2 linked regions of the Canis lupus familiaris genome follow. The protein of the gene in region 2 interacts with the protein of the main gene of each other region in a pairwise test. Links are inferred from orthologs where the notes say so. Each region holds a gene or a part of one and is shown on either strand. Other genes may lie near its edges.

Evidence for each region. The genes of interacting proteins can lie anywhere in the genome.
Region 1: the proteins of TRIP6 (region 2) and NEDD9 interact in binary tests that used the Homo sapiens proteins (3 or more experiments, as listed by UniProt). The link is inferred for Canis lupus familiaris from reciprocal best matches to the Homo sapiens genes TRIP6 and NEDD9.

Annotation. Positions count from the first base shown.
Region 1 is NC_049256.1:12,181,395-12,189,242, reverse strand, and holds part of NEDD9 (enhancer of filamentation 1), read left to right. Parts: intron 1-2,677; coding exon 2,678-3,124; intron 3,125-7,848. UniProt on the Homo sapiens protein: Scaffolding protein which plays a central coordinating role for tyrosine-kinase-based signaling related to cell adhesion. As a focal adhesion protein, plays a role in embryonic fibroblast migration.
Region 2 is NC_049227.1:8,841,627-8,847,773, forward strand, and holds TRIP6 (thyroid receptor-interacting protein 6), read right to left. Parts: upstream 4,975-6,147; 5' UTR 4,671-4,974; coding exon 4,562-4,670; intron 4,304-4,561; coding exon 4,176-4,303; intron 4,090-4,175; coding exon 3,964-4,089; intron 3,677-3,963; coding exon 3,299-3,676; intron 3,007-3,298; coding exon 2,913-3,006; intron 2,804-2,912; coding exon 2,634-2,803; intron 1,908-2,633; coding exon 1,729-1,907; intron 1,465-1,728; coding exon 1,344-1,464; intron 1,233-1,343; coding exon 1,101-1,232; 3' UTR 962-1,100; downstream 1-961. Other genes in the region: SLC12A9 (solute carrier family 12 member 9), read right to left, coding at 5,518-6,147. UniProt on the Homo sapiens protein: Relays signals from the cell surface to the nucleus to weaken adherens junction and promote actin cytoskeleton reorganization and cell invasiveness. Involved in lysophosphatidic acid-induced cell adhesion and migration.

The sequences.
Region 1 (7,848 bases), on a different chromosome or scaffold from region 2:
TTGGGTCCAGTTCTCTAAAGGTCTCTGGAACTGCATGCATGTAACCTTCCATATGGGAGAGTAATGGGTGTGTGTAGACTATGTGTAGATGCTGACTCTCTGGAGCTTGCACCAATATTAAGTAACTCACTCCTGTTCAGCCAAGGCTGTAAATATCTGTCATTATGTGAGGTGTCAGGCTAGCACTGGGGGGTGCATGCCACCAATGGTCATGCTAAACTCTCTTCCTAAATCCTCTCATTTCTCAGGGCAGCAGGGGACTGATGGGGAGTCATGGACAACCAGTCAGGAGGACTCACCCAGGGTTTCTCTGTTAGCGAGGACAACAGTCTCTGAAAGTTTTCCCAGAGAACCAGGTCTTGAGGCACATCTGAAACATTAGCATGCTGCTAACCAGGTGGTGGGAAGGTCACTGGGATGGGAGACAAAGAACATCCAGAACAACTCTCACATGGGGATTTCTATCTGCCTCTAATCAAGCACGGCCCAGCGCTCCAGTGCTTGGAGTCCCATGGCAGTGACCCAACTCCACATGCCTTGAGCTTATTTATGCTGATTAGGTCCATAGTCCCTTGCCTTTCTGCTGTTTTCTGTTTCTTTGCTTTCTTTGTAGCCCCTACAGTCGTCCAGCGACCCACCCCCAGCTTCCATAGAACGGATCCTGACTCTCTTACTTCTGATTTCATCTCGAGGCTTTCTTACCAGCCATTCCCAATCATGGTATGGGCCCCAGCAAAAGGGATAGAGACCATAGTGCTCAACTCTCTCCCTCCTCTATCATCACAATACAACTCTTCTTGAGTGGAGTGATCTCCATCAGATTATTTTGGTACAAAGGCCCAGAACCTTGTCGTCCGTAACTGACTTTTCTTTTAAGTTACAGAACACTCAAGAGATGGAAGAAGAGAAACAGATTTTAGGATTATGACACATTCTTAAGTGGTTCCTCAAGACAGGATAGTATGCTGCATGATTTTATCTTTGTGTATGTGAGTTTCTGTTAGGAAAAAATCCCAAAGCTTCCTAGCATATAAATACTAAGTAAAACTTTCACTCAGAACACAAATCCCTCAGTTTCCCATGAGCTTCCCTGTCTACATTGCAGACTTCTTGGATCCCCAAACTGTAACCAATAAGAACTTCAGCCTTATTCTTCAAAAGCATCATCTGGGTACTGACCTCTTTTTTATTAGGTTAAGTAGTAACACTAAGAGGATTAACAGTAAAAGTAGGACCTCCTCCCAGGTACTGATGAGAAGGGAACTGCTTACATAATGCAGCCCCCAACCCCAACCCCCACTCCAGAGGGGAGACCCAGCACACAGCACAAGACTGTGGTTATGGGGCATAGTACAGGGGGAGATGATTAATGTATGTCAGTTCTAAAGGAATGAGAAGCACGGGGCTGGAAGATCAAGTCCACGTTTCTAGAGAAGCAAACAGGGGGCAGAAGTCCAAACAACAACTGCCAAAAATTCCACGAATATGTAAAGTCCCAAACATGTTCCACCCAATAGGCAGTCCCTCCTCCCACAAATGATCAGCATCCCGGTGACTCAGGTGCATCCAGACACTTTCGTGAAGCACCGAAGAGATCACTTTTAGTTTTCCAAGTGCCTGTGATGAATTTACAGCGTCCCGGCTCCTCTGTGTGCTGGGAAGGAGCAGGCATGTGGTGATGGCTGCCATCGTACCGCGAAACATGACTAACGCCAAGAAATGAAGTCTTCGGAGCCTTTGAAAGGCGTCCAAGAATGTCAGCACATACCGCTTGCCCACTCTCTGCTGAATGCCTACTTGGGCTGTCTGCTTAGTACTGAATGTGCCAGACAGGCCTTCATACAAAGGGGGAGAGTGTTTGGGGCCCCTGAAAGGGGGAGGCAGAGCCTTTCTGATGTGAATGGAGAGATTCAAGAAGTGGGGGGAAGAGGTGGCAGGGGGCGGGGGGGGGGGGCTTCAGGAAAGGTATGAATAAAAGACCAAAAAAGGAAAGAGGTGGCATCTACCTACACGCAGTAAACTCTTCGTAGCCCCCTGCCATCAACTCTGAAGAGAGACTACTGTCACCCTGTGCTCCATGCTTGGTTGTCATGCAAAGAGCACTTGCTTGTGGATTCCCCCTGTATCCACAACTTGATCGACTGGGAATAAGAATTTGGAAGGCCTGCCAAGGCATACATAAGTCGACTTTTGTTTCCACTTTAACACCAAATATAAACGCCATGTGTACCATTTGTCATTTGGGATTGTCTTTGACTCCTCCTGCCTCCGATATATGAAAAGATTGAGAAATGTCTGCTGTGGCACATCTGAATATCTTGGAATGTCTTATTCTTCGAGCTGGCTTGAGGAAAGGAAGAAAAGTGTTCTGTATAGTGAACTCTTTAACAGTGCTACTCGTAACTCCTTGGCACGGCATCCCCTGCTAGAGGGAAGAACTCTTGTGGTGTTCAGAGCTTCGCCGAGGAGGCAGTCTGACGTCACTGGTGGCAGGCACAGTACGGACGTATCTGTGTTTTGTCTGCGTCCATCTGTTTTTCTCCTTACAGGCTATTGTTCACATTTGTTCTTCTCCCCCTTCCAGGAAGTGTGCTTCTCCAGAAGAGCACGGGCTTTAGGTGTTTAAAGGACTGAGCTAGCATTCTAACACCATTTCCCTCTGTTCTCTTCTTCCTAGAATCTTATGGCAAGGGCCTTATACGACAATGTCCCAGAGTGTGCTGAGGAATTGGCCTTTCGCAAGGGAGATATTCTGACTGTCATAGAGCAGAACACAGGAGGACTGGAAGGATGGTGGCTCTGCTCCTTACATGGTCGACAAGGCATCGTCCCAGGCAACCGGGTGAAGCTTCTGATTGGCCCCATTCAAGAGACCCCCTCCGGTCAGGACCAGCCTACTTCAGGACTAATGCATCAGACCTTTGGCCAACAGAAGCTCTATCAAGTGCCAAACCCACACAGTGCCCCTCGAGATACGATCTACCAAGTTCCACCTTCCTACCAACATCAGGGAATTTACCAGGTCCCCACTAGCCATGGTATCCAGGAACAAGACGTGTATCAAGTACCACCATCAGTGCAGAGAAGCATTGGGGCGGCTAATGGTCCCCACTTAAGCAAAAAGGTGAGTGAGTGACCAAGATTTCTGTTCCTACTTATTTGTTTCCATTGTACTCAGAGCAATAGAAATGTTCTCAGAACAAGAACTTAAAACTTTCGAGAGGTAAATATATCTTCTAAAGAGTAAGTATAACTAAATACTTGACCTTGAGCATTAGTTTTGCATCATTTTTCCATTCATTGGTCAGCAAAACTTTGTTCCCATGTCATTAGAAGTTCTTGTGTCATTCCAGATCAAACTGGATCATTAAGTTTTTTCCGTCTTTCTGATAGACCTGCTTTTAGACCTAGGTTGTTCTAGACTCAGAAATAGTTTCCCGTCTTTTCTCTTTCCTCCTTGAGTGGTACAAAGCACCAAATTTACACAAATACAATGATGCAGAAAGGACTGTCTTCTCATCAAAAGCTGAATCGTGTCCGCATTGAACTGGCTGCACAAAGAACCCACCAGAGAGCAAAGAAGCTGTTAGTGGGTCATGCCAACCAACTTGTTCTGCAGAGTTGTTAGTTTCAAGGTTGACCCATTTAAAATAATACATGGGAGGGAGGAGCAAGATGGCGGAAGAGTAGGGTCTCCAAATCACCTGTCTCCACCAAACTACCTAGAAAACCTTCAAATTATCCTGAAAATCTATGAATTCGGCCTGAGATTTAAAGAGAGACCAGCTGGAATGCTACAGTGAGAAGAGTTCGCGCATCTATCAAGGTAGGAAGACGGGGAAAAAGAAATAAAGGAACAAAAGGCCTCCAAGGGGGAGGGGCCCCGCGAGGAGCCGGGCTGAGGCCGGGGCGAGTGTCCCCAGGACAGGAGAGCCCCGTCCCGGAGGAGCAGGAGCTGCACCGACCTTCCCGGGCGGAAAGGGGCTCGCGGGGAGTTGGAGCAGGACCCAGGAGGGCGGGGATGCCCTCGGGCTCCCGGGGACAGTAACAGCAACTGCGCGCCCAGGAGAGTGCGCCGAGCTCCCTAAGGGCTGCAGCGCGCACGGCGGGACCCGGCGGGACCCGGAGCAGCTGAAGGGGCTCGGGCGGCGGCTCCGCGGAGGGGGCTGCGCGGCCCCGGGAGCAGCTCGGAGGGGCTCGGGCAGAGGAAGAGGCTCCGTGCGGAGGGGGCTGCGCGGCCCGGGAGCGCGAATCCACCAGCGCAGGCTCCGGAGCACAGGGCGCCGGGACACAGCCCAGGATCCCGCCTCCCCCGGGACAGGCAGAGGCCGGGAGGGCCCAGGACAGCAAGGACGCTCCTGCCCCAGCTGAGCAGATCAGCGGCCCCGCCCCGGAGCCTCCAGGCCCTGCAGACGGAGTTCCTGCCGGAGCTGAATCCAGGTTTCCAGAGCTGCCCCGCCACTGGGGCTGTTCCTCCTGCGGCCTCACGGGGTAAACAACCCCCACTGAGCCCTGCACCAGGCAGGGGCACAGCAGCTCCCCCAACTGCTAACACCTGAAAATCAGCACAACAGGCCCCTCCCCCAGAACACCAGCTAGACGGACAACTTCCAGGAGAAGCCAAGGGACTTAAAGTACACAGAATCAGAAGATACTCCCCGGTGGTTCTTTTTTTGTTTGTTTGTTTTTGTTTTTGTTTTTGTTTGTGTTTTATTTTGCTTTTTGATTTGTATCCTTCCCCCACCCCCTTTTTTTCTCCTTTCTTTTTCTTTCTCTTTTTCTTCCCTTTTTTTTTTTTCGTTTTTTTTTTCTTTTTCTTCCCTTTTTTTTCTCTTTCTCTTTTCTTTCCTTCTTTCTCTCCTCTCTTTTTCTCTTTTTCCCAATACAACTTGCTTTTGGCCACTCTGCACTGAGCAAAATGACTAGAAGGAAAACCTCACCTCAAAAGAAAGAATCAGAAACAGTCCTCTCTCCCACAGAGTTACAAAATCTGGATTACAATTCAATGTCAGAAAGCCAATTCAGAAGCACTATTATACAGCTACTGGTGGCTCTAGAAAAAAGTATAAAGGACTCAAGAGACTTCATGACTGCAGAATTTAGAGCTAATCAGGCAGAAATTAAAAACCAATTGAATGAGATGCAATCCAAACTAGAAGTCCTAACGACGAGGGTTAACGAGGTGGAAGAACGAGTGAGTGACCTAGAAGACAAGTTGATAGCAAAGAGGGAAACTGAGGAAAAAAGAGACAAACAATTAAAAGACCATGAAGATAGATTAAGGGAAATAAACGACAGCCTGAGAAAGAAAAACCTACGTTTAATTGGGGTTCCCGAGGGCGCCGAAAGGGACAGAGGGCCAGAATATGTATTTGAACAAATTCTAGCTGAAAACTTTCCTAATCTGGGAAGGGAAACAGGCATTCAGATCCAGGAAATAGAGAGATCCCCCCCTAAAATCAATAAAAACCGTTCAACACCTCGACATTTAATTGTGAAGCTTGCAAATTCCAAAGATAAAGAGAAGATCCTTAAAGCAGCAAGAGACAAGAAATCCCTGACTTTTATGGGGAGGAGTATTAGGGTAACAGCAGACCTCTCCACAGAGACCTGGCAGGCCAGAAAGGGCTGGCAGGATATATTCAGGGTCCTAAATGAGAAGAACATGCAACCAAGAATACTTTATCCAGCAAGGCTCTCATTCAAAATGGAAGGAGAGATAAAGAGCTTCCAAGACAGGCAGCAACTAAAAGAATATGTGACCTCTAAACCAGCTCTGCAAGAAATTTTAAGGGGGCCTCTTAAAATTCCCCTTTAAAATAATACATGGATACTAGTGAATTTAGAAAGGAGCCATCCTCTTGTCGTTCAACTAATTCCTATAATAATGCTGGAGCCAGTGGGTGAAAATAGTAGAGCTGGAATACTTAGGAAACCATCATGGTAAAAAAAAAATTTTTTTTAAAAGGAAGGATCTCTTCAGCACTTTATGTAATTCCAGATGCCACAACAATTTGACATAAATAGAAGTCTGTTTGTTGAATTAATTTTAAGCATTTCATATATATATACATTTATTTTTAAAAGAGTTTATTATTTTTTAAAGATTTTATTTTTATTAATTCATGAGAGACACAGAGAGAGAGGCAAAGATATAGGCAGAGGGAGAAGCAGGCTTCCTACAGGGACCCTAATGTAGGACTCGATCCCAGGACCCCAAGATCACGACCTGAGCCAAAGGCAGATGCTCAACATTGAGCCACCCAGGTGCCCTTGTTTATTTTTTTTAAGTAATCTCTATACCCAACCTGGGGGCTCGAACTCACAACCCCAGGATCAAGAGTCACATGGTCATGGGATGAGCCAGGCAGGCAGGCAACCCTTTATTTAGTATATTTTTGATGCTTGTGATACAGGGATGAACTAGAGTGAACAAGGATGAACCTTCATGATGCTTCATTGTAGTGGGGAGAGAAGCAGATGCTGTAATGTCAGGTGGAACTGCACACTGGAGAGAAAATAATGTTAGTGAACTACTGGGGTGATAGCCAACACCAGGATCCTGCTTATGTGAGCATTACAAGGGAGGGCTTTCCTCTTTCGTTTACCGGCAAATTCCAAGGCTCTACAATGGGTCCTTTGAGGCTTGAGATTAAGAATGGACTGAATTTTCCCACATATGTGAGTGAAACCATATGATGATTGTCCTTCTCTGACTGACTTATTTCACTCAGCATAATACCCTTCACTTCCATCCATGTCAAAGAAATGGTGGATATTCGTCTTTTCTGATGGCTGAGTAATATTCCATTGTATACATAGGCCACATCTTCTTTATCCATTCGTCTGTTGAAGGACATCGTGGCTCCTTCCACAGTTTGGCTATTGTGGACATTGCTGCTATGAGCATTAGGGTGCAGGTGAGGTGGGTGGGGGGATGGGGCAGCTGGGTGATGGGCACTGAGGAGGGCACTTGATGGGATGAGCACTGGGTGTTATACTATATGTTGGCAAATTGAATTTAAATAAATAAAGAAAAAGAATGGACTGATTTAATGGAATAAGAAATAAGGGAAGACGCAGTTAGATAAAAGATGGAGCTTGCTGGCTCTGAGAACACTACATAGGCATGTGCCCTGGCTCAAGAAAATCTAATACAACTGCTGAATTTACAAACCCAAGTCAATTATGCAATAATCTATTCTCATGATAATGGAACTAACTCTCCGTTGGACCAAAAAAGGGGGGAAGGGGGGGAATCACTGATGGATTCCTTAAATAACAAAACCATGAGTGTATTTTCGAATCACCTTTTATACAAAGGTACGAATTACAAAATACTGCTCAAGAGCACCTGTGTTGCATAAGCCAAGGGCATGCCTACGAGGAGAATTCCTCAAGAAGTGGCGACTTGTTTTGCCCTGGACGGTGATCACTGTCTGGAGGCAAAGTGACTCCACCATGACCTTTCAAAGGCCTTCTTACCCCAGGGATTTTAGATTCAAAGGGAAAGCCAAACCCAGCCCCTATCTCCAGAGGGGGGAAAAGAACAGTTGAAAGGTGTAACTATAAATAAATAACTTCTCTCATTCTTACTCCTGGTTGTTTGCACCTTAAAAATAGCTCTCCCTCATCTGAGCTAGTATGAGGCAGACGAGGGAACAGACCAGAACAGGAAATGCTTGGCTGAAAGGTGGTGGGGTCTAAACTTTCATCACAGTTTATTTTGGCAGGAAGGTGACATGTTTTCCTTTTTAGACTCAACCTTTTGAGTTCCAAGTCTGAAAAGTACATCAGACTTCTTCCCGTTTTATTTGCTATAACTGCACGGGAGATTTGCTCCTTGAC
Region 2 (6,147 bases):
GGCGGAACGAGGCCCCAACCACAAGCTACTCCCCCGCGGCCTGAACTGGAACTTAAAGCGCAGGCAGGGCGAGAGGCTGGTAGCCCTGGGGGATGATGGGAAGGGGGGCGGGGACTCGGAAGTCTCGCGCGCTTTCAGGGACGAAAACTGCGCCGACGGGAGGGATTACGGAAGCCTAGACGGACCCAACGAGGCCGCGGAAGGGCGGTAGGGCCCCTGGGCGTATAAAGAACTTTCTCCCGCGGAGGTCGAAGGTCGTCCTCTGGCTTGATGTGTCCGGGATCTGGGGATCTGAGCCAGTTCGTGTCCCGTTGTTGCCCCCCGACCACCCAGCTCGGGGCGCCTCCTGCCCTCATGTGGGGCTGCTTTCCCCTGCTTCTGGCGCAGGGCAGGGAGCTGGGGAATGCAGGCGTTTAGCGGGATAGAGCAACCATTTTAAAGCATCTCCCACCATTTTGTGCTGCGCCAGAGACCCAAGCTTTATTGCCGCCTCGGTATTTAACCACCTGCAAAACCCTGTTACTGCTGTTCTTCGTAAGAGGCGAAGGCGGCAGGTCTGTCTTATCCCCAACCAGTAGTTGGTTGGGATAGCTTATAGGTTGAGGTCTTGATCAACAGGCGGAGACCGGCTTGCGCCAGAGAAAACGCACCACCACCCCCGGAGAGAACACCAAGTCCTTGATCAGGGAGTGGAGTGTCCAGGCTGAAGAACAGGGAAGGCCGCCTCCTTGGAGTATGCTGCAGCCTCACTCCAAGCACGGAGAGGAAGGGTGTCTTTACACCACGTTTGCAAGAGTGTAGAATGGAGTTGCAAAAATCTAGGTCTAGGGAGACCCGGGTTCTGATCTTGGTACTGCATTAGGAAACCATGCAACCTGAGATCGCTTCTGTAAAAACGCAGTCACCACAAATGTGTTTGCATTAGGCTGCTGTGAGAATCAGATGAGACAATACACTTAAGTGTTTTGTAAACTCTTGAGGGATTATTATTTCATGATTGGAGGAAGAAGAGACAGTACTTGGTGACACAGTTGTCAGGATAGATGTCAGGGAGGGTAGTTGATGGGAAGGGAAAACGTAACAGGTGGTTCTGGGAAGGCTCAGCAGTCGGTCGTGACAGTGGCTGAGAGCTCCTGGATGCGCCAGGCACTGCACGCCTTGCACAAGATGTGCCCATCCAGCGGGTAGCAGCCCTGACACTCGCCCTCGGAGGAGAGGAGCAGCCCACACTCCTGTTAAGACAGAAGCAAGAGCTTTCTATCAGGGCCAGAGCCCTGGGTTCTACCATTCCCAGCACCCCAGACCCCAAGAATCTCCCATTCCCCTTGCCGGGGCCCCCTGACCTCGCACTTGTAACAGCCAATGTGAAAACTGCGATCCAGAGCAACGATTCGTACCGTCTCCTCCTGCCCTGGCTCAGGCATGATGGCCCCACCACACACTGAGCACCGTGGGGCAAACTTCCTGGGGTGGAAGGGAACAACGGAGGCTGTCAAGCCCCTGGGTTGGAGGGGACTAACAGTGCAGCCCAGAGAAGGTGGGCTATGCAAGGGTACGGGAGAGGCCAGAGGGATGGATGGTCTTGGCTCTCACAAGAGAGAGTGACGGTAACAAGAAAGACAAAGTCCGGGGTAGGAAACTGGAGAAGCTGGTACTGGGACATAAAGGAGAAATGAAGAAGATGGGGAAGGTCAGATGTCTCGAGAAAGATGGGAGACCCAGTCTGACCTGTGGAAGTCCTCAATGCAGTGGATCTGGCTGGTGGCATCCACTGTGAAAGGGATGCCGTCGAGGCCACGGTGGCACACCACACAGGTAAAGCAGCTAGGGTGGTAGGCTTTCCCCATGGCCCGCAGGATCCGGTCCAGGATGGGTTGGGAGCATGTGGAGCACTTCTCCAGGGTGGCCTAGCGAATTAGAAAGGAAGGGTGGCAAGTTCAGGGCTGAGGAGGTCCGGTGGCTGGCAGGCACCCTGCTGGCCTACCCACCTGTTTTTATAGCCTGCAAGGGATTCAGTGAAAAGTGGCCCTGAACAGATCTAAGTCCCAGCACTGTAGCTTCCTACAGAAGTGATCCAGTCTCAACTTCCGTTTCCTACAGTAGTATCAGCTGCTTCACAGGGGCAGCAGTGTGGAAATTTAACATATTCCCTTAACTCAAGATAAGTCTGGTCTCCTCCTCTTCTTCCTCCTCCTCTCACATTTGTAAGGAACTATTGTCCTTTCCCTCCAGCAGCCAGTAATTTCACTACTTTCCCAATTCCTTCCTTCTTACACATCAGTTTAGTCCCCCAGCTTGGAGTTCTTTTTTCCTTTAAGACTTTATTTATTTATTCATGAGAGACACGGAGAGAGAAGTAGAGACATAGGCAGAGGGAGAAGCAGGCTCCCTGGGGGGAACCCAATACGGGACTCAATCCAGGGCTCCAGGATCACCACCTGAGCCGAAAGCAGATGCTCAACCACTGGGCCACCCAGGCATCCCCCACCTTTGAATTCTGTCCCTCTCATGTGCTTAGACATCTAGTTTCCACCTTAGATGGAAGCCTCCTGCCTCCTGCTACCTTAGATGGAAGCCTCCTGCCTCCTGCTACAGACTCCAGCACCCAGGCCACCCCCAGCACACCCACTCACCACATAGCAGCTCTCACAGTACGCCCTCCTCTCCACAGCATAGAAATGTTGGCCCCGAAGCTGGGCCCGGCATGTAGAGCACACGAAGCAGCCAACGTGAAAGACCCGGTCCAGGGCCACAACGCCAGCCCCATCCCCAACCACATCTTCCCCACAGCCGCCGCACCGCCCTGGGGACAGGGAGGGACAGGGTCAATAAGCATGCAGAATGGAAGGTGGATTCGCTGTCCCCTTGACTCCCCAGTCCCCTGCCCCCCTTCCCACCTCAGGTCAGCTCACCAAAGTACTCCCCGGTGGGAGGATGGTTCATGTCATGCACCAGTTTCTTCGTCAGCCTCTCAAGCTCTTCCTCAGGAGGCTGGTTCAGGGGGACCTGAAAGGGGGGAGTCAGGGGTTCAGCCCTACCTCCAGCTCCCTATGCTGTCAGACTTTCCTGAAGGGGACCAGGCAGTTCCAAGCAGAAAGCTCATCTGACGAGGTCTCAGCCCGGGGCCCAGGGGTGCACCTCCAGGAGCCAGTGTACAGCTCCAGCACCTCCCTCTTCTATTTCCTGACCAGCGCCACATCCCTGGGACCCAGAACTCCAACACCCCAGGACTCCCCACCCCACCCAATCAGTGTCCAGTTGTCCATGAGGACCCCACATCCCAATACTTAGGGCTTACCTGGGGCCCATACGCGCCTCCTCTTCCTCCTCCTGCAGCCTCCTCTTTAACCCCTGGCCCTGGCTCATGGTGGCTCCTATAGCCAGCCCCCCAGACTTCACCTTGGCCTGGGAGAGGAAAGTGAGGGCCCGGGAGGGCCCCGGAGGCCTGAGAGGCCCCCCGCCTGGGAGGGCCACAGCCTCTCACTGGTTGTGCCACCTTCACTTGCACAGGGAAGGCAGGGCCAGCGGGGGTGCTGGCTGTAGCATAGGAGGCTGGAGTGGGGCCCCCATAGGGAGACGCTGAGAGCTGTTGGGGAGGAATAGGAACACCCCCTCCATTCGGCTTCAGGGAGCCTGAGCCTGTGCGGTAGGCATGGGGCTGAGGGGGCTCATAAGCCTGGGGAGAAACAGACCAGGAGTGAGAAGGCCCATTCCAGGACACACACTTGTGGGCCCTCCCACGTGTGTGTGTGTGTGTGTGTGTGTGTGTGTGTCCCCAAGGTAGTGCTGGTCTTTGACAAGCACTCAAGAGGCTGACAATCTAGTAAGATGTGATACTCCTGCATGTATCACACATGGGGGCAAGGGTGAAGGGTACCAGGTTGAGAATCTAGGGAAAGGACCAGGATGGGGAGTGTGGAAGAGGGCAGGAGACAAGGAACAGGGGTGGGACAGGGAAGTCACCTGCCGGTCTGACCGCCGTGGGGCATGACCACGACCTCCATCCAACTCAGCCAGCATGCTGGTCAGCGAATCTATCTCGGCATCCAGACTTCCTGGACGCAAGGCCCCCCTGTCTGGGGGGAGCCCCTGGAGATGAAGAAAAAGCAGGGAGAATTCAAGTCACTTGCCCCGGGTGCCCCCACCTCCCACCCACTCCCAATTCCAATTCTCACCTGTGAGCGCTGGGGTGCTCCATGGCACCCCACCCAGGGGAACCCCCGATCATCTGGTCCCCCGGGGGCCTGGTAACACTGCTCAGATGGGAGGGGGCAAAAATTGACCCTGGGGTGGGGCTGATGTGCTAGGGTGAGGGAAAAGAGAGCCAAGGTGGGGATGGGGAAGGAGGGGAGGGTGACACTTATGGAGGCCGCCCTCATGGGTCACTCTTCTCCCCTCCCCCCCCACACTTGGAGTCCCAGAACAGAGCAGGAGCAGGAAGCCGGAAGGGCTTCAGGGAAGGGGTGGCAGGGACAAGCCAGGGGCAGGAGGCAGGAACCAGAAGGCGAAGGTGAGCTCAGAATGGCCAGTGGCCTCCTTGGCGGCACTGGGGCTGCCTTACCTGCTCCATGGGCTGGCGGCGGCCCCGGGGCACCTCGGGGGAGTGCTCTCCCCTGAGGGGCTCTTGCAGGCTCCAGCTGCCTTGGGGGGAGCCAGGTGGGCCCCGACATGGCCGGGATCAGGAGACTCTAGACAGCGGTCAGGCCCCACGTAGCCCCAAGACTCTGGTCTTGGCCCCTTCTTCTGTCCCACACCTCGTTTGGAACTCCAGGAAAGAAACTTTTTCTGGCCTTTTTTTTCCCCTTCCTCCCCAATTTTGGGGACAGCCACGCCCCCGGTGACGTCACCACATTCCTGGGGGAGGGTCACGTGGCCCCCTAGGCCCTAAACTGCCGTCCCTCCCCCAGTCGGCCCCCTCCCGCCGAGCAGGGAGAGCTTTCCAAGGCTGCCTCCGTTTCACTCGTTCCCCCAGACTGGCGCCCCAAGTCCCGCACGTGGCCACCTCGCCGCTGGGACGCGCTCCAGCGCGGCTCTTTCCCACACTCCCCCAACCAGATCTCTCTCTTCCCGCCCCACCTACCGCCCCTAGCAGTGCTCAGCCAGGCCAGCCCATAGTGTTTTGGTCTTTTATTCACGTTCAGCGGTTAGAAAAATAAAACAGAACAAAAACATCACAACCTCAGGGGTCTGCGAGTCTGTTGGGCAAGGGGAGACTGAGGTAGCCGAGAGTCAAAGCAGAGACCCAGCCTCCATCAAGGCACCAGTGAAGGAAGGGAGGCCAGTGGGGAGGGCTGCTGCCTTTCTCCCCCAGCGTGGTGGGGACACAGCTGCCCTGCATTAGTGCACTAAAGCCCCTCTCACAGGGACAGAGGGGTGCCCCAGCCCAGGATCCCCTAGTACTTCCACAGGGCTCCACACCCCACACGTGGAGCAGGCGGGAGGCTGCCCTTCCCTTCTGCATCCACTGATCAAAGCAGGTCACCGGACCTGGGCACCCTCTGCTCCAGGCCCCGGGCATCAGAGATCAGTGCAAGTGACTGGGGTGACTCCGTGAATGAGTAGCGTGGGGCCCAGATCATGGGTCAGAGTCTCCAGGAGCGCCAGGTAGCGAGTGTAGCAGGCAGGATCGGCGGGCGGCCGAGGCAGGTATAGGAAAGTGAGGGCTGTGGCAGGCCCACCTTCGCCATCCGCACCCTCAGGCCCACCGGGCCCGCCTCCTCTGCCGCGCCCCTGCTGGGCCCGAACCAGGGCGTTAGCACTGCATGCCAGGGCCTCTGCCTCAGCATCTCCCCGCCTGCCATTCACAAAGTCTCCTTCCTCCTCCTCCTCCTCCGGCTCCCCAGCCCCAGCCCCCTCACCCCACACCACCTCCTGTACTTCGGCTCTGATCCTCAGCTGGCTCAGCAGTGCCCGGAGCCGCCCCTCAGCCGCCCCGGGGGCCTCTCGAGGCCCCAGGCACAAGAAGATCCGGAGCCGGGCGCTATGCCAAGCAGGCACCATGCCCAAGATGGTTGCCATCTGCAGCAGGAAAAGGCCACACACATCCACGTAGCCAGGCCCACCCCGGGGCCGCAGCAGGTTGAGAGGCCACACATCCACGTGATGTGGCTGAGAGGTACCCCCTGAACCCCGGCTCAGCCGCTCCGG